Saccharomyces cerevisiae S288C: one gene and its partners. Changing the gene in region 2 together with the main gene of any one other region gives a genetic interaction. Each region holds a gene or a part of one and is shown on either strand. Other genes may lie near its edges.

Region 1 (3,311 bases), on a different chromosome or scaffold from region 2:
AAAGACGTGGCGTTTTCCAAAAAGCAGTAGATGCACGTGAACAAAGAATATCCGATAAACTAAAGGAAGACTTACTAAAGCAAAAATTAGAAGATCTAAAAAAGAAAGAAGAGCAAGGAATTGACATGGATGTCGACGAGAAAAAATCCAATGAAGAAGCTCCCAGAAAAAAAATCAGCACCTCTGGTTGGAGAGACGGTAGACATCACACTTATAAAAAGGCTAAGCTGATGAAACAATCTAAGAAAAAAACTTCTTTCACCAGATTCTGATAAAATGAAGGTAATAAGAACTTGATAGGAGCTAGGTTGTAAAATTTTTAATTATGTACCATACTAAAATTCCGACGTTATTTTTATTCTTCACCGTGCTTTATCTCTTCCTAGACAATTTAAGAGTTGAAAGGACAACAGAGGGTGATGATATGAAAACCGGTTCACTTTTATATATTTGTCTTTTATGTGAGTAAGTGTGTTCTATATATGGATGAAATATATAATGCATTTTTTTTTTTGGGTAATAAAATTAGGTTGTTCTTTTACGTTCCTTAAGCTTCATTCTCCTCTCTCTTCTTAACCTACTCTGCATCATGTAGTAGGTGCCTCGTCTAATTATTGTTTCCAGTATGGACTGGTTGTATTCGGGGTACTTTACCTTTACTCGTTCGTGCAGTTGATTGATTAACTTTGTCCTATATTCTTTTGTAGTATCCCTAATCCACGTTTTGTAACCTAGCGGGTAATTTAATTCATTCTGGAAAATACCCAATATAAAGCGTTCTCTTTTTAAAGCTTCTTCGGGGGATTCTAAATTAAGCACTTTGGCTAAACCTTCGGCGGATAATCTCGAGTCGGAAATTTTCTTAGACTCTGAGGAAGAGGGTGAAGAATGTGTGTAGGAATCATGACAGGGCTTCCTCTTCCTGCTGGAAGAGACCGTTGACTCCGAAGACGAAGATGAGGATGAAAAAGACGAAGGGGCAGGATCCTGCTCGATGGCGTTTATCGTGAAATCGGGATAGTTTAATTGATTATTTAGATTTTCTAGCGTCAGTTCTTGCGTTAGGGGCATAGTATCCTTTTCAAACGAATTAGGATCGGCAAATATGTCACTGCTTTCGCTGGTATTAGAAATTATTGCTTCCCCATGTTTCAAAGAGGACGACGATGGTGGTGGCGGAGAAGGCGAATTCGATAGGGATAACGAAAACTTTGCAGGTGGCAGACTCGAAACTAATGACGAAGGCGTTGATATATCCTTTCTGTAAATGTCTTTACAATTTACGGCAAATTGCGGTTCGTTGAGAGTAGAAGGGTAATCGAGTAAAAAGGCCATCTGACTGATGTCATTACCGAGTAGATTATTATTATTATGATTATTATTATTATTTTTATTATTATTACTATTATTATTACTATTACTATTATTAATGCTATTGTTTTTAGCAGTTGTAGTAGCCAGCTTATCGTTATAAGACAGTAAAAAGTTGGAGTACGTTAAATTTTCGTCACCATAAGCATTAACGTTGATGTCATTGTTATTAATGGGGAGAAAGGGCGAATTAACATCACAATTTAAAGGTGCGAATGATTCCAAGTTGTAATTTATATTTTCATTTTCGTAAAAAGAGTCGAATTCGGGGATATTGGCGCACATTAGCTTTATTTTGGTTTTATAATCTCTATATATTACGACTAAGCTTTTGCCTAATACAAGATTAACACGCAAGTATAAAAGGAGATAACAGTGCAAATTCAAAAAAAAGAGTACAGATTAGAACTGGAAACCAACAGTCGCATATATATAATTTGCTTAATTCCTTTTAAACAATTGAACTTTTTCTCGAAAACACAACAAAGAGAGAAAAAAAAAAAAAAAAAAAAAAAAGAGAAAAACATGATAAAAATTGCATATATGTGGGTAGAAACCTTAAAAGTTATAATAAAGGGAATCCCACGCAGGAGCGGCATGGGAAGATAATATAATGAAACGAGCAAAAAATGGAGTCAACGTATGGCGTATTAAGATTGTGTTTATTTTTATGCAGGAAGGGGAATCGCACAGATAGTCAATAACCAACTGGCCGACTAACTGCATAAGAAATCGTTGTTTTTTTTTTCGAAGGCTCATTCAGATAAAGAAATCACTACGCGTTTTGTCTGTGAAGTCACAGATTTGAAAAATGAGAACGAAAAACATAACCACCTATGAGATTGAGTCCCTACATTTTACCATTTACGCTACTAAGTTACCCAATATCGTAACACGAAATAACAAGTTAAGGGGAGGAATGAAAAGGTTATCAAAGCGGCAGGAGACAGGAGGAATAACGCAGGACGAGACCCAAAGATAATATTTCTATAACGAAGTCGTTCGAACCCATCAGATTTCTGCTTTGATTACATACACAAGCTTTGTTTCTTTCTACAGGTGATTGTATGTGGGCTTATGGTATGCCTGCAGGACGCGTATGCATGTACGACGGCACGACCCGGAGCAAAACGGCGAGTGCTCTAACGCGGTGTATGGGCTAGATTCGTAATAGGGCTCTGGGTTTGCTGCAAGGGGTAATTATCAGCGATGGAATGACTCCGTTACCGCCCGACGCTATGTACGCCTTTTCCGCGTGCGCCGGTCTTTACCGGCAGGGGAGAATGTGGTGACGGCGGAGCCGGCGTATGGTGCCTCTACAAAAAATACGAAGTCTCATTTTAGTCACACTGATTTTCATAAGAAATGAGGAAAAAGAAAAGAGATGAAAATTGAGAAAAAAAAAAAAGCATTGTCGGGTAACAAATTATGTAGTGAAGATCAAAGGATATACACACAAACGAAGATGCGCATTAGCCACGTCCATCCCTTTCCCTTTTTCCCTTTCTACTCCGTTTTTACAATAATGTACGTTATAAAACAAGCGGCTGAAGAACAAGTTGGGAATAAATGTCAGCAAGGAAGATTGGTGTAAAGTGAAATCAGATAAGCAACTTAATACACAACCTCAAAAAGAAAAAATTACCATGTCATTCATACCTATTGTATGTGGTATGAAGAGTTTCGACTCTTCATACGATACCGTTCCCGGACATCAAAACCTGTATTGCCCGAATTGTCACAATTATAGTGTCGGCCCCATAAAAAGAAAGGAATTTTTCACTATTTGGTTTATACCGTTGGTTCCGGTCTTCTGGGGAAAACAGTTGCACTGCCCCATATGCAATTGGCGACAAGATTTTAAGAATGACGAACAGCTTAATAAAGTCATTCAAGAACAACAAAACTTACGACAAAAGCAGCCCAACTGATAACGAAAT
Region 2 (2,819 bases):
CTAGTTACACCGGTGCTGCTGATGCCATCACCGCTGGTACTGGTTTGATGGGTGCTGCCCTTGCTGCCGTCATGTTATTGTAAATGATATGTGAATAATCATGCGGGATATCCGATTTTTATGAAGCACCTTGCGGCTTGGCCTTTTTTCGAAGTTATGTTAGAATAAAAAAATTTTAATAACACACATTAAGTATGTATGTATATATACTGTTTCAAGTTCGTTGGTCTTCCTTTAATTGTTTGAAACGGTTAAAAGTATCTAATTAAAATAAATATACCCGAAATCATACTAAAAAAATAGTTAATATTAATAAAAGTAATGATAATAATAATAATAACAATAATAATAATACGATGATGATGATGAAACGAAAAACTGCTACATTGAAGTCACTGAGAAACGTAATGAAAAAAAGTCCTTTTTACTAGCCTTTTGAAGGAGAAAGACAATTATATTAGCTTTTCATAGATAAGTTATAAATATGCTATACACGATAACTAATAGCTTTTTTCTGGTTTGAAACCGAGCTTATAATAGGTAAGAAATCAAACCAAGGGCCAATGCACCGACACTTGCTCCTTGGAATGCAGCAGGAGCAGCACCAGAAGAAGAGGCAGAAGAGGAGGAGGAGGATGAGGAGGATGAGGAGGATGTAGATGATTCGACGGCTTGAGTGACGGTCTTGGTGTAAAGGTTGGTTGATGAACCTGAACCGTTTGTCAAAGTAAGTGTCTTTGTTGTACTCTTTTCAGAGGTGGTATCTGGTCCTTCGGTGACAACCTTTGTGTAAGTAGCATCACTATTACTGACAACGACAGTTCTAGTGGTACTGTAACTAATGATAGGGTCAGCGGTGTCGGTAACGACCTTAGTGTAAACGTTATTACCGTTAGTAGCAGTAATAGTCTTAGTGGTCATTACACTCGACACAGCTGCTGCCGAGACGGCAGTCATAACTGTAGTAGCTCCGAAAATAGTTGAGAATTTCATTATTATTGTTTTGTGATGGCTTTATGATAGACTTTTTTACAAGGACCGTAAAATTCTGCCTGAAGCACGCACACATTCCTGTTTTATACATATATTGCTAGGTAATATAAAATGCTAATTATACTGCACCCAGTTAGATTCGTATACATCTTATCCGAACTCGATTACAAATTATACAAGTGATCCAATTGGGTGAACCTCGAAACAGTTCTCTGTTCAAGGGTCCGCTGCGGGGCGAGGGGGGGTGCATTTGAACTTAGGGTGCATTGTTTTAAATCCTATACAGGATATGAACTTAGTTAGTTCAATGATCGCTTGATAAATTGCACCCTGCTCTTGAGGGTCATTCTAAGTAATGAAATTTTGGGTGTTTTTGTTTGCCGTCCTCGTTCAATTCGCTTCCGCCGTTCTGGAAGCCCCGTTAACTTCCGTTCCCGCATTCCGATCGCTGTAGGGCTTGGCGTCAGTAGCACCCAGATATTTCACTGTAGGAGCTTACTTCACTCATTTCAATTGGTATACAGAAATCTATGAAATGTAGTTAAAGGCATCACTAATCCGCATCCGCGATACCCGCAACATATACGGAATGTCTATGTAAAAATGTCTCCTGTGACTTTCATTAATCGAATCTTTCTATAAAAAAAAAAATGAGCAAATCACAGTACACCCACTACTCGCATCATCAACGTTGAGTCAGTAGCAAAGTCTCCAGTTATGGTGCCCTCTGGTCCAATTGTAGTAAATTCGTTTGCACGGATGAAAAATAGCTCATGAATGTTCTTGTGTATTTGAATACCATTATGTGCGCGGCTCATACGGATTTAAGTGTGATCTTCCCCTCCGTATTCCCTGTCAATAACTCAAAGTTTTCCCATTTCGGTTTGAAGTTCTTCACAAGGGAGTTTCTTGGCGCAAAGGCATGATGATCGCATTTGCCTCAGTATATTTCGTCATTTCGGTACTGAGAAACGAAATTATTTTGCCTGTTGTCTTGCGTTTTGGCAACCCTTAAGAATTCATCTAATATGTTGGTCCTTAAAGATAAGCGCTTTTGCTTGTAAAATTCTGATTTTTTGTCTTGTGATGGTAATGCTACATTGAACATCAATGCGTATCTGATTTTAAAAAAAAAATTAGAAGTGTGTATAAAATGAAGGTATTATCAGTTGAGCAAATATTACATGTGCTCTTCAAAAGTACCTGCTTTTCATTTAGTGACTATCAGGATGATAACGCCGCTCGTCTTATTTTTAACTGTCGTTTTCTGATAAATGTGTTGAAAACGTGCTAAACAACAATTACCTGTTCTCAAGAGCCTTGAGCCTGGATTGAGAGCAAAAAATCTCTCTTTCATTTTATACAGAATTCGGAAAGAAGATGGATATTTCATGAAAATCTGTTGGTAAAAAGTGGATAAAAATTTTGTATTATTAGTATGTTCTTAGTGGTTAGGTGATAACGAAGCGAGAAAAGCAGGGCAAATGGAATAGAATAGCGTGTAGTTGTTAAAATTTTATTTCACTGAGGCTTATATGCTTACTGAGAAATTTTTTTTTTTTACAAAAAACTTCTTTTTATGTTATACCAGCTGTGGATTACCACAACAATTGGAAAGAACATCAATCCAGAAAAAAAATTCAGTTAATTTGGAGGAAGAGAAATTTAAGTCATGGAACAAGAGTGGGAGACAGTTAAAAAATGCTTCCAAAGATTAGTAGATTGAAAAAGTTTGTGAAAGTCGATCAATTGTCTTCATTGCAGCTAGACATAAATTATGTTTCAGGTCAAAACAATTAAATATATACTTGTGATAGGTAAAATAG
Region 3 (3,484 bases), on a different chromosome or scaffold from region 2:
CAGATCAGAACCAATTCGCAACTAAGTAAGGACATTCTCATGGGTGAACCAGGTGATATGGTTGATCTGTCCTCTTTTGTCAACGCGCAGAGAAAAGCCTCAAATGAAACTGGTGACTTAGTCTTTAGTTTATCCCAGGATGATGACGCACTGAAAACGTTCCATGCGAGCAACAGCGCAGCAACAAGCAATGAAAGCTGGTGTATTAGCGATGATGCGTTAGGAAAGCAGGCGCAGGACAGTGAAGTTAGGAGGAAAAGAAAATCCAAATTAGGACTCTTTAGACATATTTTTTCAAGGAAGTAATACAACAATATTAATAATAAGTAATAAAAAGGTGAATCGTAACCTTAACGGCATTGATTGCATGTAGTTTTAATAATAAAGTGTAGAATAATAAATATAAAATTTCAAAGTCATCAGAAATAAAAATTGAATAGACATATACATATAGAAATTACTTCTATCATTTAAATACATATATATACATACATGTATACGTGTATACTTGTACTTGTGAAGGACTCAATAGTTGTATTCGTTTGGTTTTTGACCAGAAGTGTTTGGGAAACCACATTCCAATAAGATATCGTTAATCAATTCAGGTTTTTCAGTAATCTTGGAGAAAACTTCATCATTTTTGGTTAAGATCATACCACAATAACCTGTGGAGTTGAAACCTATCTTCATTTCATCAGAAAAGGCCTTCGAGCGTGGAACGACACAGATCCATTCCTTGGTTAACATAAGATTGTAGGATTTCTTTAGTTCTGGATTTTCGTTCAACCAGTCCTGGAAAAAGGTCAAAGCTCTTTGCAATATGGAGATGTAACACATAGCTAATAGGTCTTCATCAACAGTTTCTTCAGACTCCGGCATTGGCAAGACAAAATGAGCGAACGAGACTTTAGCATCTTGCAAAGGTTCAGTATTGAAAGTTGGTAGGAAATGTTCTTTACCATTACATAGTCTATCTTGGAAAGTGACGAACTTTTCAGGCATTTGCAGAATTTGCAAATGTTTGTGGTCCAATGAAGAACCACTGGCTGGACCAGAATTGTAAAAGACCATGTGTCTCTTGTCGGATTCTTCATTGTCCAAGGCACACAGCAACTTATAAGCAGTCAATAAATCGGTTGGGGTCAAGGCATCAGTTTGATGTTGGTATTCGTTAGTTACCAATAAAGTGTGTTCAGGGATTACAGGGAATTTGTTTAATAGCAATTTATACGCTTTGTTATCGGCACCACCAAATTCTGGGATAACCGTTAATTCTTCCTCAGGTTTGCCTAGTGGATCCTCTCCTTCTGGAGTTTGGCCACGCTCTGGCTTTTCGATCAGACTTGGCATGTGACTAATCAAGTATGGCATGCTGGTTTTTGGGTCCTTTGTTTTCGTTGTTTCAGTCTGGATAAATTTTAAGTTACCATTATCGAAGGCACTTTTGTACTTGTCACTAATTAAAGATGCAATGTCAGCGGGGATACTCATTTTTATTTTAATTTTTACTTTTCTGTTTGTTCTAAAATCTATCTAAACTGGCTTTCAAGATCAATCTATTGTCTTTTAAGGTAAACTTTAAATTGGAAATAATAGTAATGTTAGTTCCTTCATTTTAACCTTGTATTGTATTTCCTTTGCGTGATGAAAAAAAAACTGAAAAAGAGAAAAATAAGAAAATCTTCTAGAACGTTCCGAAACAGGACACTTAGCACACAAATACAGAATAGGAAAGTAAAAGGCAATATATGAATGCAGTGCTTGTAACTGGTGCTTGTATCCAAGAATAGCTTCTTGCTGTAGGTTATGGGAATATCGTGTAAGCTGGGGTGACTTTTGAGCTATTCGCGACGCCCGACGCCGTAATAACTACTTTCGACAGACCACTTATGACAGTATTTCAGGCCGCTCTTATAAAATGACATGTTAACAAACAGTTCTGATTATTCGCCTTTTGACAGGACGATAATGTAAATAGTTGTGGTAGTATCATTCAGGTATGTAACTGTTTACTTTGTATCGCTTGAAAAAAATAAGCATTTCAGAGCCTTCTTTGGAGCTCAAGTGGATTGAGGCCACAGCAAGACCGGCCAGTTTGAATGCTCAACTCTTCAAAAGAAATTCCTCAAATATGTCCAGTTTCATGTACTGTCCGGTGTGATTTATTATTTTTTATTTACTTTGTAGTTCTTAAAGCTAAGATTTTTTTCTTTGATAAATTCTTGTTTTCATATCCTAAAATTAAAGGGAAAATAAACAATACATAACAAAACATATAAAAACCAACACAATAAAAAAAAGGATCAAATACTCATTAAAGTAACTTACACGGGGGCTAAAAACGGAGTTTGATGAATATTCACAAGATAAAAATCATATGTATGTTTCTGATATATCGATATACAATCAAACACTTTCAAGAATTTGTTTGTAGACTTTTTGCTAGAGACCTCATCAAAGTGCTACCAACTAAGATCAACTTATACTTCTTTTAGAGAAAATTTTTTTCAATGTACTCCAAAGAGATTTAGATCCTGTCTCTTCCTCTTCCTCTTCCTCGAAAGTCAAAGAAAAATCAGAGTCTCCCTGCTTATTCAGGCGGAGAGGCTCTAGGGTAGTTGCGTTTCTCTCATTGGGACACTGAACCTCATTTTCCAACATTTTGGTCATGTAAGAGGCGACAGGCTCATCGCAGGTGGGTGCATCAACATGGTAGTACCTGGACCAAGCGCTACATTGAGTCCCTCCTGGATAAACACCGCTACAATATTGTCTTTGGACGTTTGCCCAAACCATATCTTTTGAATACCAAAGCTGGACCACATTGTATGGCCTAATCATTGGTGCTACCATAATACTGGATTGGGAAACAGTCTGGTTAATTTTTTTCAACCAATTTTTCTTATCTAGCAATGATTTAATAAACCTGAAATCTAAATTGTCTTCGTTAGCGTCTGTGTCATAATCTACAATTGAGTACTGTGACGTCCAATTATATGGCACCGAGATGGGGAATCTGTCCGGTGTTTCGTCGCTGTTATCCTTCTCCTCCCTCCAAATGCAGTCAGAGGCAGGTGCCCATTCGGTTCGCCAGTCTCCGTTATTTACTACTTGGTACTGTTCCCAATCGTAATACGTTTCCTCTGGGTTGAAGATACTTGCTCTGCTCTTGACATTGCCCATAGCCACACCACGAGAAACATCGTGGAAGATTACGGAGCTGTTTACGATAGCAGGAGCAATGGATTTGACGAATGACACTTGATAAAAGTCTTTGGTCGAAAATACAGTATCAACGCCGTCGTGGGACTCGACCCCTGGTAGAAGAAGCAGAGCATCTAGATCAACGGTAGATGCTGCAGAGGTCAAAGCCACAAAGAGGGAAGATGCAGTTACGAGGTATTTACTAAACATTGGTTCGAAGTGATTACAGATTTTTCTCTCTTGAACCCTGGAATTGCAATAGCTTGGTTCCTATTGGGAC

The links. Genes that interact genetically often act in the same process or in processes that back each other up.
Region 1: mutations in FIT2 (region 2) and YBL029W together harm fitness more than expected from each alone (negative genetic interaction), as found in Saccharomyces cerevisiae (one large-scale study listed by BioGRID).
Region 3: mutations in FIT2 (region 2) and APA1 together harm fitness more than expected from each alone (negative genetic interaction), as found in Saccharomyces cerevisiae (one large-scale study listed by BioGRID).

Annotation. Positions count from the first base shown.
Region 1 is NC_001134.8:164,479-167,789, reverse strand, and holds YBL029W (uncharacterized protein), read right to left. Parts: upstream 1,657-3,311; coding exon 526-1,656; downstream 1-525. Other genes in the region: YBL028C (uncharacterized protein), read left to right, coding at 1-272; YBL029C-A (uncharacterized protein), read left to right, coding at 3,018-3,302.
Region 2 is NC_001147.6:1,057,705-1,060,523, reverse strand, and holds FIT2 (Fit2p), read right to left. Parts: upstream 994-2,819; coding exon 532-993; downstream 1-531. Other genes in the region: FIT3 (Fit3p), read left to right, coding at 1-83; YOR381W-A (uncharacterized protein), read right to left, coding at 1,934-2,101. UniProt on the Saccharomyces cerevisiae protein: Involved in the uptake of non-siderophore and siderophore sources of iron. Has a role in the retention of iron in the cell wall and periplasmic space.
Region 3 is NC_001135.5:37,311-40,794, forward strand, and holds APA1 (bifunctional AP-4-A phosphorylase/ADP sulfurylase), read right to left. Parts: upstream 1,492-3,484; coding exon 526-1,491; downstream 1-525. Other genes in the region: LRE1 (Lre1p), read left to right, coding at 1-306; YCL049C (uncharacterized protein), read right to left, coding at 2,476-3,414. UniProt on the Saccharomyces cerevisiae protein: Ap4A phosphorylase catalyzes the phosphorolytic degradation of bis(5'-adenosyl) tetraphosphate (Ap4A) into ADP and ATP. Can also use other Np4N' nucleotides (where N and N' stand for A,C,G or U) as substrates with equal efficiency.